Linked DNA regions of Sus scrofa. The protein of the gene in region 2 purifies or fractionates together with the protein of the main gene of each other region. This does not show direct contact. Links are inferred from orthologs where the notes say so. Each region holds a gene or a part of one and is shown on either strand. Other genes may lie near its edges.

The links.
Region 1: the proteins of KRR1 (region 2) and DDX18 purify together in Homo sapiens (affinity purification with mass spectrometry; 3 studies listed by BioGRID and IntAct, with this or other methods). This does not show direct contact. The link is inferred for Sus scrofa from reciprocal best matches to the Homo sapiens genes KRR1 and DDX18.
Region 3: the proteins of KRR1 (region 2) and KRI1 purify together in Homo sapiens (affinity purification with mass spectrometry; 3 studies listed by BioGRID and IntAct, with this or other methods). This does not show direct contact. The link is inferred for Sus scrofa from reciprocal best matches to the Homo sapiens genes KRR1 and KRI1.

Annotation. Positions count from the first base shown.
Region 1 is NC_010457.5:23,428,617-23,432,268, reverse strand, and holds part of DDX18 (ATP-dependent RNA helicase DDX18), read right to left. Parts: intron 1,955-3,652; coding exon 1,817-1,954; intron 393-1,816; coding exon 257-392; intron 1-256. UniProt on the Homo sapiens protein: ATP-dependent RNA helicase that plays a role in the regulation of R-loop homeostasis in both endogenous R-loop-prone regions and at sites of DNA damage.
Region 2 is NC_010447.5:38,809,143-38,811,829, forward strand, and holds the end of KRR1 (KRR1 small subunit processome component homolog), read right to left. Parts: exon of another isoform or gene 2,542-2,687; coding exon 2,399-2,541; 3' UTR 1,253-2,398; coding exon of another isoform or gene 981-1,252; 3' UTR 606-980; downstream 1-605. Other genes in the region: GLIPR1 (glioma pathogenesis-related protein 1), read left to right, coding at 981-1,252. UniProt on the Homo sapiens protein: Part of the small subunit (SSU) processome, first precursor of the small eukaryotic ribosomal subunit.
Region 3 is NC_010444.4:69,334,211-69,338,502, forward strand, and holds the start of KRI1 (protein KRI1 homolog), read right to left. Parts: upstream 2,895-4,292; 5' UTR 2,754-2,894; coding exon 2,660-2,753; intron 2,550-2,659; coding exon 2,476-2,549; intron 1,725-2,475; coding exon 1,619-1,724; intron 506-1,618; coding exon 397-505; intron 200-396; coding exon 145-199; intron 66-144; coding exon 16-65; intron 1-15. Other genes in the region: CDKN2D (cyclin-dependent kinase 4 inhibitor D), read right to left, coding at 3,815-4,174.

The DNA.
Region 1 (3,652 bases), on a different chromosome or scaffold from region 2:
CAGAAACAAGTCTCTCCCTTCTCTACCCATGAAGTCATTTATGTGAGTTAAAGACTTAACTCAGAAATAACAACTGTGCTAAAAACAGAAGTGAACACTTTTCTCTAAACACCAGTCAATAACCTAAAGCCTTTAATGAAGGTTGGATATTTTACCCAATACAGTACAAAATCAACAGAAATACTGGTATTTCCTTTCCAAACTATTAGCACTAAGAAGAGGGACACTAATGCTCAAACCTCAATGTTACTCATACCTGCCTTCCAGAAGTGGTCTGATACTCTTATGTTGAATTTCAGTCATGTTCGTAAAACCCATTTCTTTGATTGCCCTCAGAGTGTTCTCATTGACAAGATCAGTCAGCGAAGCAAATGAAGTATCCTCAAAAGCTCCTAAACAGAAAAGAGTTTACCATCAGCAAATTTACCTTAATACAGTTAACACTGCTATAGTTTCCTAAACTAGTGCTGCTGATTAAAAACATTATGACATTGGTGTTGAGCTTAGAAAAGTTTCTTCCAGTATGAAAAAACTAAATACCAACTATTCCTACGTAATATCAAGAAAAAGACCCTGTACTTTTAAAGTTTCTCCACTGCTTATGGTTGTGTAACTTAAAGTTCAGAGCTAATACTGTAACAAACTAATAATGACGGAGGTACAATTAAGGGACTTGTATGAAATGAAAACGCCAAGGCTGGGGGTGGGGTGGGGGAGACTGTTTGTGGGAAGAGAGTTCAGAGAGAAATCAAATGGTTAAGAAATCTGAAATAAAATGAAAGCATTCAGTACAATCAAATCTGACTATGAAGTCAAATAAGATTAGTTATTCTCACTGAGAGGAGTCAGGTATAGCCACAGATGTCAGACTATACTCACGTTATCAGGAGTGCAGTGGTTCCCCAGCAGGGGATGGCACCAGGATCACCGGGGACCTACTGCCCCACATGCCACTGCGGCGATAACCCAGGTATTAGCAACTTTGGCACTGCTAACATTTTCGGCTAAATAGTTCTTTCTTGTGAAAGGCTGTATACATGCATTACAGGATGTTCTGCAGCATCTCTGACCTCTACCCACTAGATGCCAGTAGCCTGCCTACCAACCAAGCATGTTGGTGGCCAATCTTCACGGTTTGCCTGGGACAGAGGTAATCTGTGGGATGCAGGACTTTGAATGTGAAAACTAAAATTAACCGGTCCCTTTACATGGGAGGTAAGATTACCTTGGTTGAGAATAACTACATAACCTTTGCAAATCTGATTAAGTAGGTTGGAGGATGGGCCTCAATATTTTAACAAACAGAACCCCCAAACCAAACAACTCAAGTATCTCCTAGACAATTCTAGTTGGGAGCAACCAATTCTAGCCTAAATTCTTGACTTTGGAGATAAAGAGTAGAGCCAAAGAAGGAGACCCTGGCATAAGCCCCTCAATAATGTTAACGTCCTCCTTTTCTTTTAGCCACTGAGCCAGCATCAAACCTCTGGGCTTCAGACATCCCGGCCAGTGATTTCCCCACTACAGCATGGACTGAGCTCTGGAAAGTGACAAACCAAAGGAACAGAGGACCCCAAGAGCTGTTTGTATGTCTGTCAAAACAGTCAGTGTTAGAAATAAAGAGAGGGGAAGACAAAGAAACAAGGAGTAAGCATACAATGTGGAAGATAAAAAAGCAGCAATTAGATATAAAATCATTTCTTCAATACTTAGATTTTCAAGGTAAATTAAATGTCACAACTGGACCTTCAAACTATAGTCCAGGGATGCATGACATTTCAAAGAAGATCTACCTGGAAAACGTTGTGGAAGTTACCTGTTAGTCCCAGGGGCAGGCTGGGAACCTCAGTGTCATCATCCTTGTCTGGCTTTTCCATACTGTTTTCTGTTTCTTCAGGAGCCTGGGCACTGTCTCCAGGTTCTCCTTTATCTTCAGTTTTTGCTTTTTTTGAATCTTGGGTTTAAAGGACCAAACAAACAAAAACAAACAAACAAAAAAACCTTCAATTTTTTTTTCTTAAAAATACCAATGAGATCACAAAGTAAAAGTGTGATGCAGAAAGGCATATTTTCAAATGCTGACCACATTTCCAGTTTCAATTTGCTAAGAATCTCTTTTTCATTGGTTGAAAAATATGGTTATATTAAAAAAACAGGGGGAGACACAGACTTGCCAAGAAAACATTTTTAGGCTTCTTTATACACATACACACATAGATACATATATATATGTATATATGCAGTTTATGGGCCAGGGATCAAATCTAAGGCGCAGTCGTGACCTATGCTGAACCCTCGGCAATGCCAGATCCTTTAAAACACTGTGCTGGCAATCAAACCTCCATCCTGGTGCTGCAGAGATGCCACCAATCCCACTGTACCACAGTAAGAACTCTCCATCACACTCTTAAATGTTCCACTCTGGGTCAAGTGGGTTACCTACCATACCAGGCTTTTAAAATTTTATGGCTGTTAGGATGCTAGTATAACAGAGCTGACCTAAACCAGAACTTAGGACTGTCTGCAGTCCACGATTGGCCTCTTCCTTGGACCTTCTACTACTCTTCTGGAAAATGGTCAGCCCTGTAGAACGCAAAAAGCCATGGCTATAATCATCCTTGTCTGGTTTTTCATCCTTTGTATGTCTGTCAAAATAGTCAGTGTTAGAAATACTGCCATGGCCATAATCAGCAGGTCTTCATGGCTTATCACTTCTGTTTTCCAAAAAAAACCCCGGTTTTTAAAGGTTACCTACAGGACTTAAAACTCCCAGCCCTGTGATTCTATGTTAGAAATAATGTCACTTCCTTAGGCATACTTAGAACAAGAATCCTAAAGGCATTAGTAATTTTAGAACAGAATTACCATCACTTTATATCAAAACTGTCATGTCTAGTCCTTATGCTTCTTCTTGTTTCACTTTTTGCATAAACAATTTTTCCTAACTTACAAATGGACTGTAGTCTATATGCAGTAAAAGGACAGTCATATATGTTTGGAAAATTTAAAGCTTCTTTCTAAATGAAATCTTTATTTCAGACAAGAGATGAACAGGACATGCTAACCCAGGTGCTGGCCAACTTTGTCTAAAAAGGGCCGAATAGTAAACAGTTTAGGCTTTGTAAGCCTTCTGGTCTGTCACCATGAAGGCCAAGTCAATAAATGGGCATTGCAGTGTTCCAATTAAGCTTTATCTGTAAAAACAGGCAAAAGGCTCAATAGTTTGCTGACACCTGTTCTGTACTTCCTTGCAATCTCTGCTTGCTCATATAACCATTAAAATGCCATTCTTTCAATAAGCTTATTCAATCCAATAATCTTCCAAAAGAAAAGAGCCTTCTCCACTTCCCAAATACTATCCTGGCCATTCGACTTGCTTGGAAACGTTCCATTTATTCAGATGCTTCCTAACTGCTTTTTTATACACTTTGTATATCCAAACGATCACTAAGTTGCCTTTCAAAGGTAGGAATTTATCGCAGGAAAAAGGAATGGGTAAAAAAAGAAGTAAATAAAAAAAGAATCATTAACCTGAAGTCCTGAGATACAGAAAGACCCAAGAAGACAGACTCAACTACCAGCCCAGATTCCTTTAGTCTCAGTAATTCTACAATTCTCTTTGCAAACAGATAAACCTAAAATACTACGTCAT
Region 2 (2,687 bases):
TATGGCAAACACTAGAAGGAAAAAAGAATCCCTGTTTGGTAGTCTAGATACTGCAGGTAGGTTCGACAAATATCAAGAGGCCAAATCAGGACAGTTTTGTAAAACGTGCTGGGTATACTAATGGTATATAAGCTGCTGTTAGCTAGTGCATGGACGGACGTATATTTCTGGCAATATTCAGAAGTTGAATATTTAACATAAAAAATATATACGTAAGAAAAAAATGTAACCAGGACATCATACCTTGATTTCATGGCTATAACTGCTGAGAAAAGTTGAAGAATAGAAGCTACATGGCAGTTCACTGTAGACAAGGCCAGTCACAGGTATGATGCCCAAGGATGTCCACAAGCATCCAGGGGGTCGGCTCGTTGATGGATTCCATTCCACTACAGGAGTCCAACAGCTGATGTGGAACTGCTGTAGGAAAGGTGTCTGACTGTTTAGTTTAAAAAGTATCCAGAAGGCTATGGCAAATGTGGAATTGTCTTCCTAGTGCTCTGAATATCAAAATCTTAACAAAGCTCAGTGGAAGGGGAGAGTACTCAGGACTTTATCAATAAGATATTTGGCTATCATAAATTAATGACATACTGGAACAGAGGCGAGGCCGTGGTCTCTTTATTGCTCACTGATTATAAACAGTCATTCTTCTCAGGAAGAAACATTTTCAGAAACATTTTAATAAATCATTCACATTTATTATTTTTAATTCTAATGTTTTATTTTTAATTATTTTTCTGCCAGATACGGTACATAAAATGTTTCCACTTACAGTAGTGGTGTGTCTGTGTATACATATATATGGTTTATATAAAAAGTTGATTAAAAAATCAAGTTAATACAATAAGTGCAAAAAAATCTTTAACCTTTGAAAATTACTGTAATAAAACCAAAAAGTCAAGAGACTGGGCTTTTAAAATAAAAGCCTTGCCACTACCTATTCTTTTAATTTTTGTCTTTCTTCTCTGACTTTACAGCCAACCCAAAACGAGACAAAGTCACACGTATGTATATAAATCTTAAGTTGTTCAAGATTTATGTAAGCAATGTTTCCGCATCACGAAGAACAATATTTAAGAGGCTATTTTATGTTTGTTTCACAGGTTACTATTCTGTTGTGTTTCCAGACTGGCTGATACTTCCACGTAATAGATACCTATCTCTTTTTCTCATTGTTAGTCCACCAATCCTATTACTGAGTGTTATAATTACCATTTTGGTTAAATACCCTCATTTAGTTCTCAAATAATAAAATCAAGGAAAAAAAAACCCTCATGTACAGCTTTTTTTTAATAAGTGGGTGTATTTCTATTTTAAAACTTTGAGAAAACATATATTGTTTACACTGTTGCAGCAAACCCTTACTCAAAAGAAACTTCAATTTAATAACACTGTACGGTAAACTCATCTTTATTACTTCCCACACTGTATGATAAACTCGTCTTTGTTATTTCCCACTCTGTATAAAAAAGCATTGTTTTTAGGCTGCCACTGCTGTGATTTCAAACCCTGGTGTGCTTCAGCTTCTAAATATGTAAAGTCAATCTTGAGATAGGTAGGTGAGTATAAGTAACTGCACTGGACCTTATTAACAAAACATTTCTATAATCTGTTGCATGCTGCTTCAACTCTAAATATCTGGTTTTCCCTTCTCTCCTGCAATTTTATGACTTTCTGGTTTACAACTTCCTCAGATTCAGAACGGAATAGTAATTAAGGAATAATATCTAAGAAGCCTTGCTTTTTTGGATTATGAGATTATAGACAGGGGAGTTTCAACTGTGGTACAGTGAGTTAACCATCTGACTACAGCAGTTTTAGGTTGCTGAAATTCCTCTGCCCAGCAAGATCCAGTGTTGCTGCAGCTTGGATTCAATCCCTGGCCCAGGAACTTCCCTATGCTATGGGTGTGGGCAAAAAGAAAAACATTTTAGAAAGGAATAAGCCTAAACGTTTACGTGTTATCATTAAAGCACTGAAAAATTATCTTCCACAAAACCAAATTATTTATCAAATCCAATGTCTGGCATCAGACACCTGGACTGGATGGGTAATTACAATAGCCATATTCCCAAAATACAACCTATATAGAATTACTCCTAAAATCATTCTTAGGCAAAACCTGCCTGGAACAGACTAGCTGCAATGCATATAAACACATTTATACCACTTTCTTGTATAAAATTTTTCAGAAAAATTATGGAGAATGCAGTAATTTATAAAGAATAGCTGTTTATGTAAACACTTTATATCAAGAACAAAACAAACTCAGAAAAATGTGATCAGTGTATTACCTTTCACAGATAGGCAACTAATGCCCTAGTATCTCAAAATCCTTTACAAAAGGAGGTAGCTTAATACATTCTAGTTCAGGAGTTTCGGCCTTTGGTCTTTGCTACTTTTTTTTCTTCTTTTTCTTTTCATCTGCTTCCATTTTAAGCTTAACTTCTTCAGCTGTAAGAGCTCCCAGTTTCTTACTCTTTGCTTTCTTAACCTTTTCCTTGATGGTGGCCACATCAATTTTAGTTTCAGTAGAAGCTAAATAAGTTAAAAATACATGTAACAAGATTTAATATCAGAGTACTGCTGTAATTGAAAGGTCATGTTATAAAACTACAAAACATCTGCTGAAAGTTAGAAATTTCAAAATGGCATAATTTATATGAACAATTACTCAATGCAAC
Region 3 (4,292 bases), on a different chromosome or scaffold from region 2:
GGCCTCAGGGCTCACCTTTCCTTCAGCTGTTTCTGTTCCTCCACATAACTTTTCGCTGAGGTCTGCTGCAGAGAGAGTGACATGGGCCTCAGGCCCAGCCCTGGGCCCCTCGAGCCCCCCCCGCCCAGCCTGCACCCCACTTACCTGGAGTCTCTGATCAGAGGTCTCCCCGTCTGAATTTTCCTCATCAACATATTTGCTGCAAGAAAGGATGAAGGCTTCAGGATAGGTGCCCCAGGGCCTGTCTGTCCCCATGGGGTGGGGAGTGGGTCACCAAGGCTCCTCCCCTCTCAACTCTGATGAGTCATGGGCTTCATCCCACCCCTGCCCCCAAGTCCCCCATGTGTCCACCTGCCCTGGAAAGGCAAGAACAGGGGCACCAGGCTTTCTCCTCACCCTCCTTTCTCCAAGATGACCTTCCTCTCGTAGTCCTTCAGGTACATGGGACAAACCTTCTTTTGCTTCTCCTCAGCTGCCGGCTCCTCCTCGCTCTCCGAGGAAGATGCTGTGGGGCCACCAGAAGACACTTGCCATCAGCCACACCCACCCACCCCTTCCTCCCTGAGTCATACCCAGGCTTCAAATCCCCAGGCCGCCTGCTCCCAGCTCTCAAACATGTATCACACGGGCTACTACCCGGTAGTACCTGGTGGTGACCATTCAGTGAGTAGTTTACACTCAGAACAGTGCCAAGCACACAGCCATTATTATCATTTTTTTAAGTTCCCTGTCAGAAACCCCAGCTAGGACCTATGCCACAGCTGCAGAAACACCAGATCCTTAACCTAATGCACAGGGCCAGGGATCGAACCCATGCTACCCAGAGACAACATTGGATACTTAATCCACTGTGCCATAGTGGGAAGTCTCATACAGCCTTTTTTTTTTTCCTTTGGTCTTTTTTAGGGGCAGCACTCACAGCATATGGAAATTCCCAGGCTAGAAGTCAAATGGGAGCTGCAGCTACCAGCTGCATCCGGCACAGCTTGAGGCAACGCCGGATCCTTAAGCCACTGAGCAAGGCCAGGGATGGAACCCACATCCTCACAGAGTATCTATGTATTCTATAGGGTTCTTAACCTGCTGAGGCACAACAGGAACTCCTGCTGTTGTGATGTGTAAAGACTCATGAAATAGGGAGATCCCTGGTGGTTCACTGGGTTAAAGATCCAGTGTTGTCACTGCTGTGGCTCGGGTCACTGCTGTGGTGGTGCAGCAGGTTCAATCCCTGGCCTGGGATCGCATGCCTCGGTAGAGCCAAAAAAAAAGATTGGTGAAATAATCACAACAGCCCATAAGGCAATGAGGAAACTGGGCCTCAAGATGAGCAGCCCCAGAGTTCCCGTCATGGCTCAGTGGTTGATGAACCCAACTAGTATCCATGAGGATGTGGGTTTGATCCTTGGCCTTGCTCAGTGGGTTAAGGATCCAGCATTGCCCTGAGCTGTGCTGTAGGCCACAGAAGTGGCTCGGATCCTGAGTTGCTGTGGCTGTGGTGTAGGCTGGCAGCTACATCTTTGATTCAACCCTTAGCCTGGGAAGTTCCATATGCTGCCGGTCCCACCCTCAAAAGACAAAAACAAAACAAAACAAAACAAAAAAACGAGCAGTCCCAGACCTGTTCTCTGATAGAATGTGGCATCTTTCTTGTAAATCCGGGGATCCTTCTTCTTCAACAAGGATAGAGTCCTGTAAAAGTCTCGCTCCTGCTGGGGGTCAAATTCCTAGGGCAGGAAAAGAGGTGGAGACAGATTTCAGAAGGAGGCACCTGGTGATGAGGGCACCAGGGGTAGGTGGGCTGAGAGGGTGTGGGAATTAGGGTGGGGGAGGGGCATATATTAAGAAGCAGGAAGGGGAATCTGGCTAGAGAGGCAGGTGGGGGGTGGAGGTCTGGATCTGAGTGGAAGAGGGGGGCAAACGGGTGGAGGAGGGAGAGGGGCCGTCTTGGGGGTGGTCCACACATAGGATATGTACAGGATATGAAATGGAAGTAGTGGGTAAGGAGAGGTTACTTCCTGGCATCAGTAAGGGATTCAGGACACGGGGCTAGGTGGGCAGAAAGGGCACAGGAAGAATGGAGAGAAAGGGCTGGACCACTCAGGGAGACTGGGAAGATCAGGGCTGCTATGGGGAAAAGGTGGGTGCCCCATGTGGCAGAGGGATGCCCCACTTTGGGGAGAGCGGCAGGCGTTGAGAAAGGGTTAGACTGTTAGGGACAAAAAGGTGGACAGACAGTTTACACCTCACAGATCAAGATGGGCCAGGAGCTCCGAGGTGAGAAGGGGGAGGTAGGGGGAATCTGGCCACCCCCTGGGGATGGGGAGGACGCTGTCTGGCTCTCAAGGGAATGAAGGGCGGGAGTTGAAAGCTCCCCTCGGCGCGCTGGTGATGAGGGTAAGCAGCTCCCTATAAGCCGGGCAAGGATGGTGTGCTTGGAAGCCTCCCCAAGTTCAGGACGGAAGCGGGTAAGCTCACCACGCGCTCATCGCTGGAGTCAGACTCGGAGCTGGAGTCGCCACTGCCGTCCTGGTCTCCGTAGCGATCTTTGACTGTGGGGCACAGATAGGAGCCCTCAGGTCAGCCTGGGGGACCAGATCAAGCCCACTTCCTGACCGCCCGGCATGCGCCGGCGCCCCGCGCGCATGCGCCCCGCACTCACGCCGCTGCAGCTCCTCGCGCTCCCGGTAGCGGCCGTACCGCGCAGCAAACGCCGCGTTCACCCGCAGGGGCGACGACCCGCGCGGCTCCGGCATGGCGGCTCTGGGCACACTGCGCAAGCGTACGGAGGGCGCCCCAGGGGGCGGGGCTACTCCCTAGCAAGCTAGCTTTAAATGGGGCGGAGCCTCGTGGACGGCACTTAACCCAGCCCCTGGCCCTTCCGGGATCCCAAGCCCTGTGACGGCAGTCCCCACCCATGGGCCACGCCTCTGCAGGGAAGGCTACGGCCACCGCCCACCCCACTCCCCCACCCCCAGGGCTCCCGGCACCCAGCTGACATCTGGGGGCCCTTTCTCCACTCGCGGTTTCCTGCCTCCCTTCCGTTCCGACAGCGCAAACCGCTGCCCCACCCAGCTCACTCACCCCTTGCGCCCTGGGAATTACCACTCTCGCCCCTCCGCCAAAGGACCCACGATCCGCGACCTGGGTGCCCACCCCCACAAACATCCTGAATGCACGACTCTCCATCGCAGCCTCAAAAATCAGAAGCCACTGGCGCTATGATCATGCACAAGTCTTAATTTAATGGGTAAAAACATTAAATTACACACACAACAATTTTTTCCATAAAGCTTAATAAATAGAATGTGTTAACGCTGTACAAGGGACTGGAAAACAAGCTTTTAAACAAAATATGAATGAACTCATACTACCCTTTTACTGATTTGGAACACCCCCCTCCCCCATGCCCGAAAGCAGTGTGCACACTTGAGGTCTAGCTCTGGGTATAGCTGGCCAAGGTCGACAGGTTCCAGGAGCCTTGGAAGGAATGACCTCACTCTGGAGCTAGGGCTTTAAACGCTCTGCCCTTGGGACTTGTCTGTAGTCCCAGCAGTCTGGGGGGTGGAGGAAACTGAACCGTTTAGGTGGCTGTTGCCTGCAGGAGCCCTTCTCTGCCCAATACACCAAAAGGGGTGAGAGGAAAAAAAATGAGAAATGCACCTCAAACACACACACCCCAGAAATCAACACCAACAAGCCACAAACTTGTGCCCCTCGGCAGTGGGCAGGAGGAGCTAAGGGAGAAAGTGTTTCTTCCCTTCTCTTCTGACACAGAACCCAGCCGGGTCCTGTTGCTGGACTGGGTGGCCCCAGGTCACAGTGGTGCCACTGTGTGCCGCTGTAGTATGTCCATGAGATCCTGAGCACCTCTCCCCCTTGCCAGCTCCAGGGGTGTAAGCCCCCTGGCGTCCCTGTGATGGAGATCAGATTCAGCAGCCAGGAAGCTGACCACAGAGGTGTGGCCCTCTCTCACAGCCAGATGAATGGGGAGTGCCCCGGTGCCATCAGGTGCATTGACATCAGCGCCGTGCTCTACCAACACTTTCAGGGTGTCAAGGAATCCAGTACGGGCTGCATCGTGGGCCGGAGTGGTGCCGGAAGCATCCTGGACATTGGGGCTGGCACCTTGTTTCAGGAGCTCCTGGGCGATGGTGGGGCTGCCAAACATCATGACCTGTTGGGGGCAGAGGGTCAGGGGGTCCTCAAAGGAGGAGGCCCAGGAAAATGGGGGACTGGAGAAAAGGGTCATTCAGGAGTAGAGAATGCCAGAGACAAGGTCCTCTAGAGAATGA